Linked DNA regions of Rattus norvegicus. The protein of the gene in region 2 purifies or fractionates together with the protein of the main gene of each other region. This does not show direct contact. Links are inferred from orthologs where the notes say so. Each region holds a gene or a part of one and is shown on either strand. Other genes may lie near its edges.

What was found.
Region 1: the proteins of Cpsf3 (region 2) and Cstf2 purify together in Homo sapiens (affinity purification with mass spectrometry; 3 studies listed by BioGRID and IntAct, with this or other methods). This does not show direct contact. The link is inferred for Rattus norvegicus from reciprocal best matches to the Homo sapiens genes CPSF3 and CSTF2.

The regions. Positions count from the first base shown.
Region 1 is NC_086039.1:101,556,274-101,560,937, reverse strand, and holds part of Cstf2 (cleavage stimulation factor subunit 2), read right to left. Parts: intron 4,084-4,664; coding exon 4,021-4,083; intron 1,656-4,020; coding exon of another isoform or gene 1,596-1,655; intron 1,383-1,595; coding exon of another isoform or gene 1,281-1,382; intron 922-1,280; coding exon 780-921; intron 1-779. UniProt on the Homo sapiens protein: One of the multiple factors required for polyadenylation and 3'-end cleavage of mammalian pre-mRNAs. This subunit is directly involved in the binding to pre-mRNAs.
Region 2 is NC_086024.1:46,574,583-46,579,246, reverse strand, and holds part of Cpsf3 (cleavage and polyadenylation specificity factor subunit 3), read right to left. Parts: intron 4,030-4,664; coding exon 3,940-4,029; intron 2,877-3,939; coding exon 2,726-2,876; intron 948-2,725; coding exon 772-947; intron 95-771; coding exon 1-94. UniProt on the Homo sapiens protein: Component of the cleavage and polyadenylation specificity factor (CPSF) complex that plays a key role in pre-mRNA 3'-end formation, recognizing the AAUAAA signal sequence and interacting with poly(A) polymerase and other factors to bring about cleavage and poly(A) addition.

The sequences.
Region 1 (4,664 bases), on a different chromosome or scaffold from region 2:
AGAGAGAACTGATACAAACATCAGTAAATGAATGGTAATAAGAAACTAAGATAAAAGGAAAGCTATAGAGTATAAATTTGTGCATTCTAGAATTTATTTGAGCAGGGCATTCAATATTAGGGAAGAATTAATGGTTATTATATGTACAAGTATACAGTATAGTGCTCAGCAATGCAGGTTCTGGATTCAGACTGAATATTGAAATCCAGGTCTTAGCATTTATTAGCTGTTTGATCTAGGTCACTGATCAAACTGACCTAACCTCTATATGCCTTAGTTTCTTAATGTAAAAAACAGGATTAATAATACCCATTTTTGGGGCTGGGGATTTAGCTCAGTGGTAGAGCGCTTACCTAGGAAGCGCAAGGCCCTGGGTTCGGTCCCCAGCTCCGAAAAAAAAAGAACCAAAAAAAAAAAATACCCATTTTTAAGTGTTCTACCACTGGTGTTACAGCCCCAGTCTAAGGCAGATTTAATGAGATGATCTGTGTTAGGTACATAGAGAAGAACCAGAGGTATGATCCTCACTAACATCAACAACTATTGTTATTAATAATACCACTTATTTTCAATATCTGAATATATAGTAGTCATGGTTGGCTCAAAGTTACCTTAACTATATAATTAATGCTTTAGCAAAAGTGCTTAGTCTTCAACTACAAATACTTCTTTATCTTTTAAAGAAGGCAAACAAATCCAATTGTTCCAAAAAGACTTTGCTTCCAAAGTAAGGAAAACTCCCAACTTTTCAAGCTGTTTCCTTCTATATCAGTACTTACCTAGGTTCTACTTCTCCAGTTACGGTCATTAAAGTGCCTCCCCGTGGATCATTGGGAGCATCACCTAAAAGACCACGAGGAGTTGGGACGTTGGCAGGCAAGGCTCCCCGCTGCATAGCTGCTCTGGGGTCTTGCATTGGCACTGACAGGGAAACAAATGGGGAGTTACTGCTGTGAAAGACACATAAAAAACAAAAATGACTCTGTACCACTGACAATGTAATTCAAACACCTTAAAGTGGGTGAAACCTCACCACAGCAGAATCCTCTTGCAGCTCAAGAACAGAAGCAGGGTGTAGGCAGAATCTGTGCCATGTCAGAGGTATGGATGGAATTATATATAAACAGTAAACTGGGGAGCACCTGTCAAGAACTAGCAAAGTGACCTGAAGAAACTTATGATCCTGATTTTCTTTCTAACCAATCTTAGTTTAAGGACCAGAGTCATAAAAGAGAGGTTAGGGTCTTGGCATATGAACACTGTCATGGCTCTGCAAGAACCTGCTGTCTCCTTACAGACTGCAATTCCATCCAAGCCTCCTGACACCAGTAGGGAGGGAGTAGAGCCTCGGACAGATGCCCATATCATCCATGTTCTCTGCCCTGTGTGAAGAGGTCAATCTTAGGCTTGTGGCCTCAAGAGGGGAAAAAAAAACACAAAAATAAGAACAAAAAAAGCAAAAAATTAAAAAAAACCCAAAAACATTACCCTTTGGGGGTTCTGAACGTGAGGATCACTGCCAAGCAGCTCTTTTCCCCTCAATGTCCCACCCTGAACACCACAAGCAAAAGGAAACCCGCAGATACAATGGGTACCTTGAACTCGCTCAATTGATGCAGGCCCGGCGGGTCCCACGGGCGAGTGCTGTAAGGTTCCTAGGTGAGCAGTAAGTTCAAAAGGAGAGACACTTAAAATAGCTTGAACACACATAAACACACACACGGAACGGAGACTGGATATTTACATGTCAGTAAGAAGCCAAGAGTTCATTAGTTTGTCCTAGACTACAAAACTCCCAAAACTATAATAGGCCTTTCTCTTATCCAAAACAGCTCCACTTTGACCAGATATCTTTCTTTGTAAAACCTTTTAAAAATTTTATTTATGTATGTATTTTTTAAATGTAGGCGTGCGCTGTCTGCATGTACACCTACAGGCCAGAAGGGGGCATCATATTACTTTATAGATGGTTGTTAGCCACCATGTAATTGCTGAGAATTGAAGTCAGGACCTCCAGAAGAGCAGCCAGTGTTCTAAATCAGTGAACCATCTCACAGCCTCAGATACCTTCCTTAAGGGAAACCTATGGGCTAGTTTATTTGGGCAAGAATAACCTCTTGAACTCTTTTTGTTACAGCACCATTTTCCCTAATCACTTCTTGTACCATTATTAAAAAGAAAAAGGAAACAAGAGAAAAATGTTTTCAAAAGCAAACACAAATTGCACGGAATGTGACACGTTTTATCACAGACAACCATAACAGAAGAGGGGCAATATTAATTCCATCATATTTTAAAGTCTAGAATTTTCTATCAATAGTATCAAATGGGAAAATGCAGCTGAACTTTAGGTGAGGAAAGAGAGTATCACTCTGAAAGAAACAGTCTACTACAGCCAGTCTACAGTTATAAGAAACATGACAAAGATTAATGAGTTGACAAGGTATAACCAATATTAAAAAGACGGGAAAGAAGTTCTGTCTCAAACATCTGTTACCATTACAAACATGCAAACCTAACATGATTCCAGGCAAAGGAAAACAGGTCTGGTCACAAATGAAACCATTCTTGTTTCCTCTGCTGTGCACTGAAGGAAATTATTTTTTTAAAATTCATCTCACTTTGTTTTTGCCTCAGAAGGTCCTTGAAACACTTTCAAAATGTGAGCCAATTCCCCTGTTAATTCTTACCAGAAAGATGGGACTAAACTAAAGTAGGAAGATTTCTTGTTAAACAGCTGAATGGTTCACTGATAAGACAGATGGCCTGGGAAGAGGAAGAGATCAATGGAAGGCCAAGCCCTTCTCACTACTGCAAGATACTGAGGTAGATACGCCATGTACTAACAGTAATGAGATGGGGTACACAGCAGCACAGAAGCATGAGATACTTTTAAGGGAAGAGAAGATGTAGGTTACAAGTTTGTCTTGTTGTCATTCATCTGATATGTTTAGACTTGTCATTTCAATCACCAATCCCTGTATACCAATCATGGGCCTGTATCTTATTATGTGTTTTTGAAATGAGTTTCTCATATAGGGACTCAGCTGAGAAGAAAAATATTAAGGCCCTTTGGTCTGTCCAAAGCAATCCGTTCTCAACACATACCAAATGAATAACAAGAATATTTTGAAAATTAATTCTGAAAGAAGGCAGATTTTGGATTTGGAGACTTCGCTTTTTAAGTCAAAAACGAAGAGCACCAGATCCAGACCACCACAGTAGTCAGAAATGAGTATGTACTTACCTCATCCTACTGAGAAACTTAAAACTCCTGTGCTTCCATCTCTTTACCTGTAAAACTAAGGCACTGCCACCTAACTCAAAGGGTGGTCTATGAACATAGAGGTGGCTGAGTATATACAGTATATACTCAGTTCCCTTTTCTTCCATCGTCTTTCATTTTCTAACGGAACTAATATACTCTCTTCTCCTTCAAACTTCAATAACATAAGGAAAGAACACAAAGATTCTGGAAGGGTTGCTGCTGTTATATACGGTGTTTTTAGTTTTGTTTTAACCACAGTACAGGAGACTCTTTAAACTATGATTTATAGACCTCTGCTTTCCTCCCAGCTTACTACGGGATTTACATCCGATCATACACTAAATGCTCATTATATAAGTTTCTGACAAAGTAAATAGCTATTCAGATTAAGTGAGATCATGCCCGTGGAGCTGTTACACTACCAGGAAACAAAGTATGCATTTATTTGCCTTATCACCAACTCTTGTAGAGCTAGGTGCTGGATATGGGAAGTCTGGAGCAATAGAAGTTTAGTGAATATAGAAACATTCTACATCTGCAATGTCCAGTGTGGTCTTCATTAGCACATGTGGCTACTGAGCACCTGGAATGTAGTCACTGTGCCCAGGAAATCAGAGTATTAGGCTTTCATGATTAATTTGAACTTAATTTTAATGAATTTAATCTTTAAGTTGCCACTGGTGATTAGTGGCTGACACATTAGACAGTGCAGATATGAAACATTTCCATGTCTAGTCTATATTAATATTTACCTTGTCCTCGTTCCATGGGCACTGGTCCAGCTCCTTGCATTCCAACTTGGGCTTGCATGACTCCTAGAAAATGAAGTGCAGGGAAAAACATAAATTGGGCCTGTAGAAACAAACCCCAACAACAGTGGCTGAGTTTACGAATGTCATCCCTTTTCCCTTTTCCCTTTTCCCCCACAAGGAGAAAGCTCTGATAGAAGGTGAAGACTACCATTCAACAATGCAATGAGCAGAAGATGAAGTTTGTTTGTCAGCATATGTCACACTTCAGTGACAAGGGAGTCCACAAGGAATATTTTATCACAATTACCAAAATTGTAGCAGAAATCCCTTTAATACAAGAAAACAACACCTCTTACTTAACAAGCCTCTTCTCATGGGAGGCAGTGCCACTCATAGGATATTTTATAAATATATGGGTATATTATTTAGTTATGACAAAACCTTTGGGGATATAGGTGACACTAAATAAGATGGGGTCAGGGATACTAGGTGTCCTCAAAGTATGATGCAATTCCACAAAATCAAGGTTGATCTTCTATCCAATAAAACTTTCAAATGTCCCACTCAACATTCATACCCAGGAAAGTCTGTTGTCATTTCAACCTAGAGTCTGAGTCTGTCTTATTTGCAAACACGGAAGTTAT
Region 2 (4,664 bases):
AGCTTTCAAACAGCTCTCTGGATAAGCCATTTTGAATCATGCCTGGTGAGGCCATTACAACACTGGGGCCAATGTCGTCAAAGTGATCCATGCTCTGTGAGACAAAGGAAGGGTTAAAAGCATGACAGTCACCAGGCTGGTCAAAGTTGCCACTTAGAGTAATCACACTTCTGCATGGGCCATGGTAAGAGCAGCTAGCACTGTGTGTTTAAGTGCCACATTACAAAATTAAAATGTACTGAGCATGGTGGGAAATGCCTTTAATATCAGTACTCAGAAGGCAATGGCAGGCAAATCTCTGAGTTCAAAGCCAGCCTGGTCTACAGAGTGAGTTCCAGGACAGCCAGGGTTATGTTGGGAAACCCTGTCTCAAAAAAATAAAAACCCAAACCAACCAACCAAAATTAAAACATGTTATTAGAAAGCATTTGATCATAATATACTTTAAATTAAATCCAGTTGCATTAATTCATCTTGGGACACACACATGGAAGTTTTATAAATTCCTACATGGAATTTGCAGTGCTAATCAAGGAGGATCAGATGTGAATAACAGAATCTAAACCTTTCTTCCTGTGGCAGGAGGGTTCAGGTTGACTGCTGTGTACTGAGGGAACGTGGAGACCCCAAGCAAGGGCAAGCCTGACTCCAGTGAGTCCCAGCACCATGAGGCCGGCTGGAGAGCAGAGTCTCAGCAGGGCAGGCTGCAGTGTGCCCACCCCCCCCTCCCCACTCCCTCCGCCATGCCTCCCCTTCCTCCATGAGCATCACCTTGAGGTTGCTGATGTGCTTGAAAACGAAGGGGTTGTTGATGTTGATCTGCTTCCGGATCTTGTCGTTCATGGCGTTCACGTAGGTCTGGTACACGGCCATGCACTTCTTGGCCAGAGACGATGCGTAGTAAATGGGGATGTCGTGCAGCTCTGGGTGGTTCTGCCAGTACTCATCTGCAGTGGTGTCACAGAGGCAAGCATCACTAAGCAGGCCAGGCAAGCAATCAAATCATGATGATAACTAACTGAGAAACGAAGGGCCATATAACTGTATTTTAATGAGTTTGTCAAAGCCACCCTGTTCCTTACTACTGTAAACTACAAATCTAAACAGAAATATAAAATCTAAAAATAAAACAAAGTTGTAGTCACAGATCAAAACTATGGAGTCTCTCACAAATGCTCCTTTTATATTTATACTGATTAATATTTTTGTTTGGTTGGTTTGTTTTGTTTTTCAAAATCGGGTTTCTCTGTGTAGCTCTCGATGTCCTGGACTGTCTCACTATGTAGACCAGGCTGGTCAGGACCTCACAGAGATCTGCCTGCCTCTGTCTCCCGAGTGCTTATAGAGGTTTTAATATAATTATTATTTCAAGCAATTGCTTATTATATATTACATAATGGTATTTCTAAAAAACTTCTGTATAAACTGCTTCTTACTAATTAATGAAAGTTGTGAACAAAATACTTTCATGTGAAGGCCTATTTTTTTCTGTTTTCAGGGATAACCTCATTAAATCCCAGCAGTTTACAAACACGCTGCCCAGGTTTGTCTGAACGGCTTAGGAGTGGAGTGCACAGGAGGTACAAGTTAAGGTCAAACGAGATGCCCTTCCTTGCCTGTCTGCAATCAAGTGCCTGGATGATGGACATTTTTATCTGTGACAGCACAGGGCCACCTTCACCCCTCTGGCTCTTTGCTGGTTTCCACAGATTTTTACTCTACATGTTGATGGACCAACTTGTCTCACCATCAGGTTCAGAGGACAGAACTGAACAAGCGCAGTCTCTGTAAAGGACTGCTGTGGTCCTGAGAGGTGTTGGCCTATCCTCCCTTGACTGTTTTCCAGTCACTGCAACAAGAACGCTGTTCATCCCTTTCTCAGAGATGCAAGCACAGAGAGCGGAGGACAGGCACCTCTACCTCACACACACTTGCTGTGAGTGCAGGCCCTGACTTGTCTGCAGCACGACCCTCACAGAATCATGACAGATCAAATCAGGGGGATCAGGGAGCACAAACACACAACCCTACAGTACAAAGTTATGCACACTGACTGAGGTCTTCGGAAGACACAAGAGGGGCAGATCACGGCCACTCATCTTCCTATTATTCCTTTGTGCTTGTGTCATTACCTAAGCCGACTATAGGACAGGTAGTTTTTTAGTCCTATTTTTTGGGGGGGGAGGGTGGTATACTTAATATTCTGTGAAAAGTCTACACTCTGCTCTCTAACTCAACTTATGTTCATGGTATTTCCTGAAAATACTACAATAATGGAAGTTCAGACCTAGGACCCAGTAGTCGGAAATACTGGGCTATATATACAGTAAGACCTTATCTAAAACAAACAAACAAACAAACAAACAAACAAACAAACCCTCAAATACAACAAGGACTGAGAAGACAAACACCTCCACCTATCTCTCCTCACGTCCTAGAAGTGCCATAGTTAGTCTACAGTTGCCCATGCTGGAAGGCTTCCAATACTGATGGGAACCAGAAAGGCATGTCAGGTGGTCCTAGCAGCAGTGGACATTAGGTGCTGCTTTCCCCCAGCTCTCACCAGCACCAGGTCCCCAAGTTGCCCCCTGTAGCTCCGGGGATTGAACCTGGGGTCTCGTGTGTGTTTGGGAGGCCACCGAGCTACACCTTCAGTCCCCAGTCACAGTTAGAAATAAAGATAAAATGCTGTATCCACAGCTGCGAGAGTAAGTCACCCAAATACCTAGAATCAGGAGCAGCTCCTGAGCTCTTCCGAGAGCAAAGACAGGAATGAGCCCTCTGCCCCCTCTGTTGACAATGTCGTGCACAGTGTTGCAGAATCTTGCTTCTCGCTCTTCACGCTTCTCATGGATATGGGTCCCATACGTAGATTCCTAAATAACAGATTAGATATGTAAGACTAAGACCAACCACTCTTGAGAACTCAGAACTTAAGCATTAAGGAAAAGCTGAGGCTGAGATTCATTTCTTCAGCAACACGGCATTCACCTGAGCATCTGTTGTTATAGCAGTAACTAGAAAAACAATAAATAACAATAGAATCCAAATCATACCAAGAATGCTACAGACACTGAGTCAGGGATCAGTATAAAATGTTCCTTCTTCCCTCAAGGGCAAGCACAGTAAGTACAGTAAGCAATGTTTCTCTGGCTTATACTTAAGAACCTGGGGCCTCCTCACTATGCGAGTGCTGCTGCAGTTCCTGTACTTATTGGGAACGCAGAACCCACGGCCCAGCACACTGGCTGCAGCACCAGACAAGTTATAGCCAGGGAAGCTCTGCTCGACAGCACAAGTCACACGGAAGGGCTGGAAAACAACTTCCCCAGCACAAGTTGGTGCCTGTGCTGAGCACCAGGCCATGTCACAAGGAATCCACTCTGCATGTTGCACACGGACAGCAACAGGCAGGGGCTCACACTTCAGCAGCTATGTGTCCAAACCGCAGCCGTGGGGACCAAAGGTACTTGATGCTTTTGTGTGTATGACAGGCCCAGAAGAGGACCATTCCTGACACTGTCAACCATCAGTCCCCTCAAAACTGCTTTTGAAGACAGTTCATTCTTTTGTTTCCTTGAGACTTGCAAACTAATAATATATGACAAGTACTCCACAGAAAAGGGCAAAGCCATCTCTAAGACCATTTAATATGTTCTCCTAACAAACTCGCCTAGGGAAAGACATGCAGGTGGCGGGGAGGCACACCCTGTCTCCTCATGCTGCAGAGACAGACCATGATCCTAAGACTAAGTCAGCGTGAATGCACTGTAGAGCAAAGGGGAGGGACAAAAAACAGCCAAGAGAATCCTCACATAACAAACAACAGGCAAACAGGTGCCCATCAAGGATGTCAGGACTGTGACACTGTCATTCTTTTCCCCACTAGAAGTTCAGGTTTACATTACACTAACTATAATCCAGTCCGTTAATACTCACAATGATCAGGATGTCTGGCTTAATATTAGGAATTTCAGCGGCCATTAGATGTCTGTCCTCTTGTCTTGAGAAATCACCTGTATACAAAAGCTGTGAAGACACAGAGCCAGGATATCAGGATCTGGGAAAGGCTCCTCTTCCTAGTGAGCAGACAGACCCTCACGTCTAGGAGGAAAACTGAATTTAAACAGCAAACTACTCACCTGCCTACACTTAAGGGACTTTAGAGACAATGCCTGCATCTAATTCTAAATGTGTCAGTTAGTCCCTAAGACACCCTGGGTTTCAATCAGTAAATCTAACTTTCCAGAAAAATATATCCCATAGTCAACCCTCAAAGATAAGCATGTATCAGCACTGTCAGGGCCAAATCAGAATGAATCAGATCTGCGCCCTGCCATTTCCTGCTGACTTTTGGGGCCCTGGAACATGGATGAGTGATCTGATGACAATGTAGGGCTAGGTATGCAGACATTTCAGATAGACCATGTTCACATAGAACCATGCTGTCCAGCTTCCAAAGCAAAATCACTAAAAACGTACAAGAGAGAAGCCATATCTTTCCATCTAGGTCTCAGTCAATGGCTACTTGCCCTGGAGTCTAGAATTCCAGAGCCAGTAAAGGCACTGCCAAGCCTGATGCCCTGAGTTCAACTCCCAGGACTCACATGGCTGAGGGAACCAACTCCTTCGAGTAGTCCTTCCTACACATAAACACAGTCTCC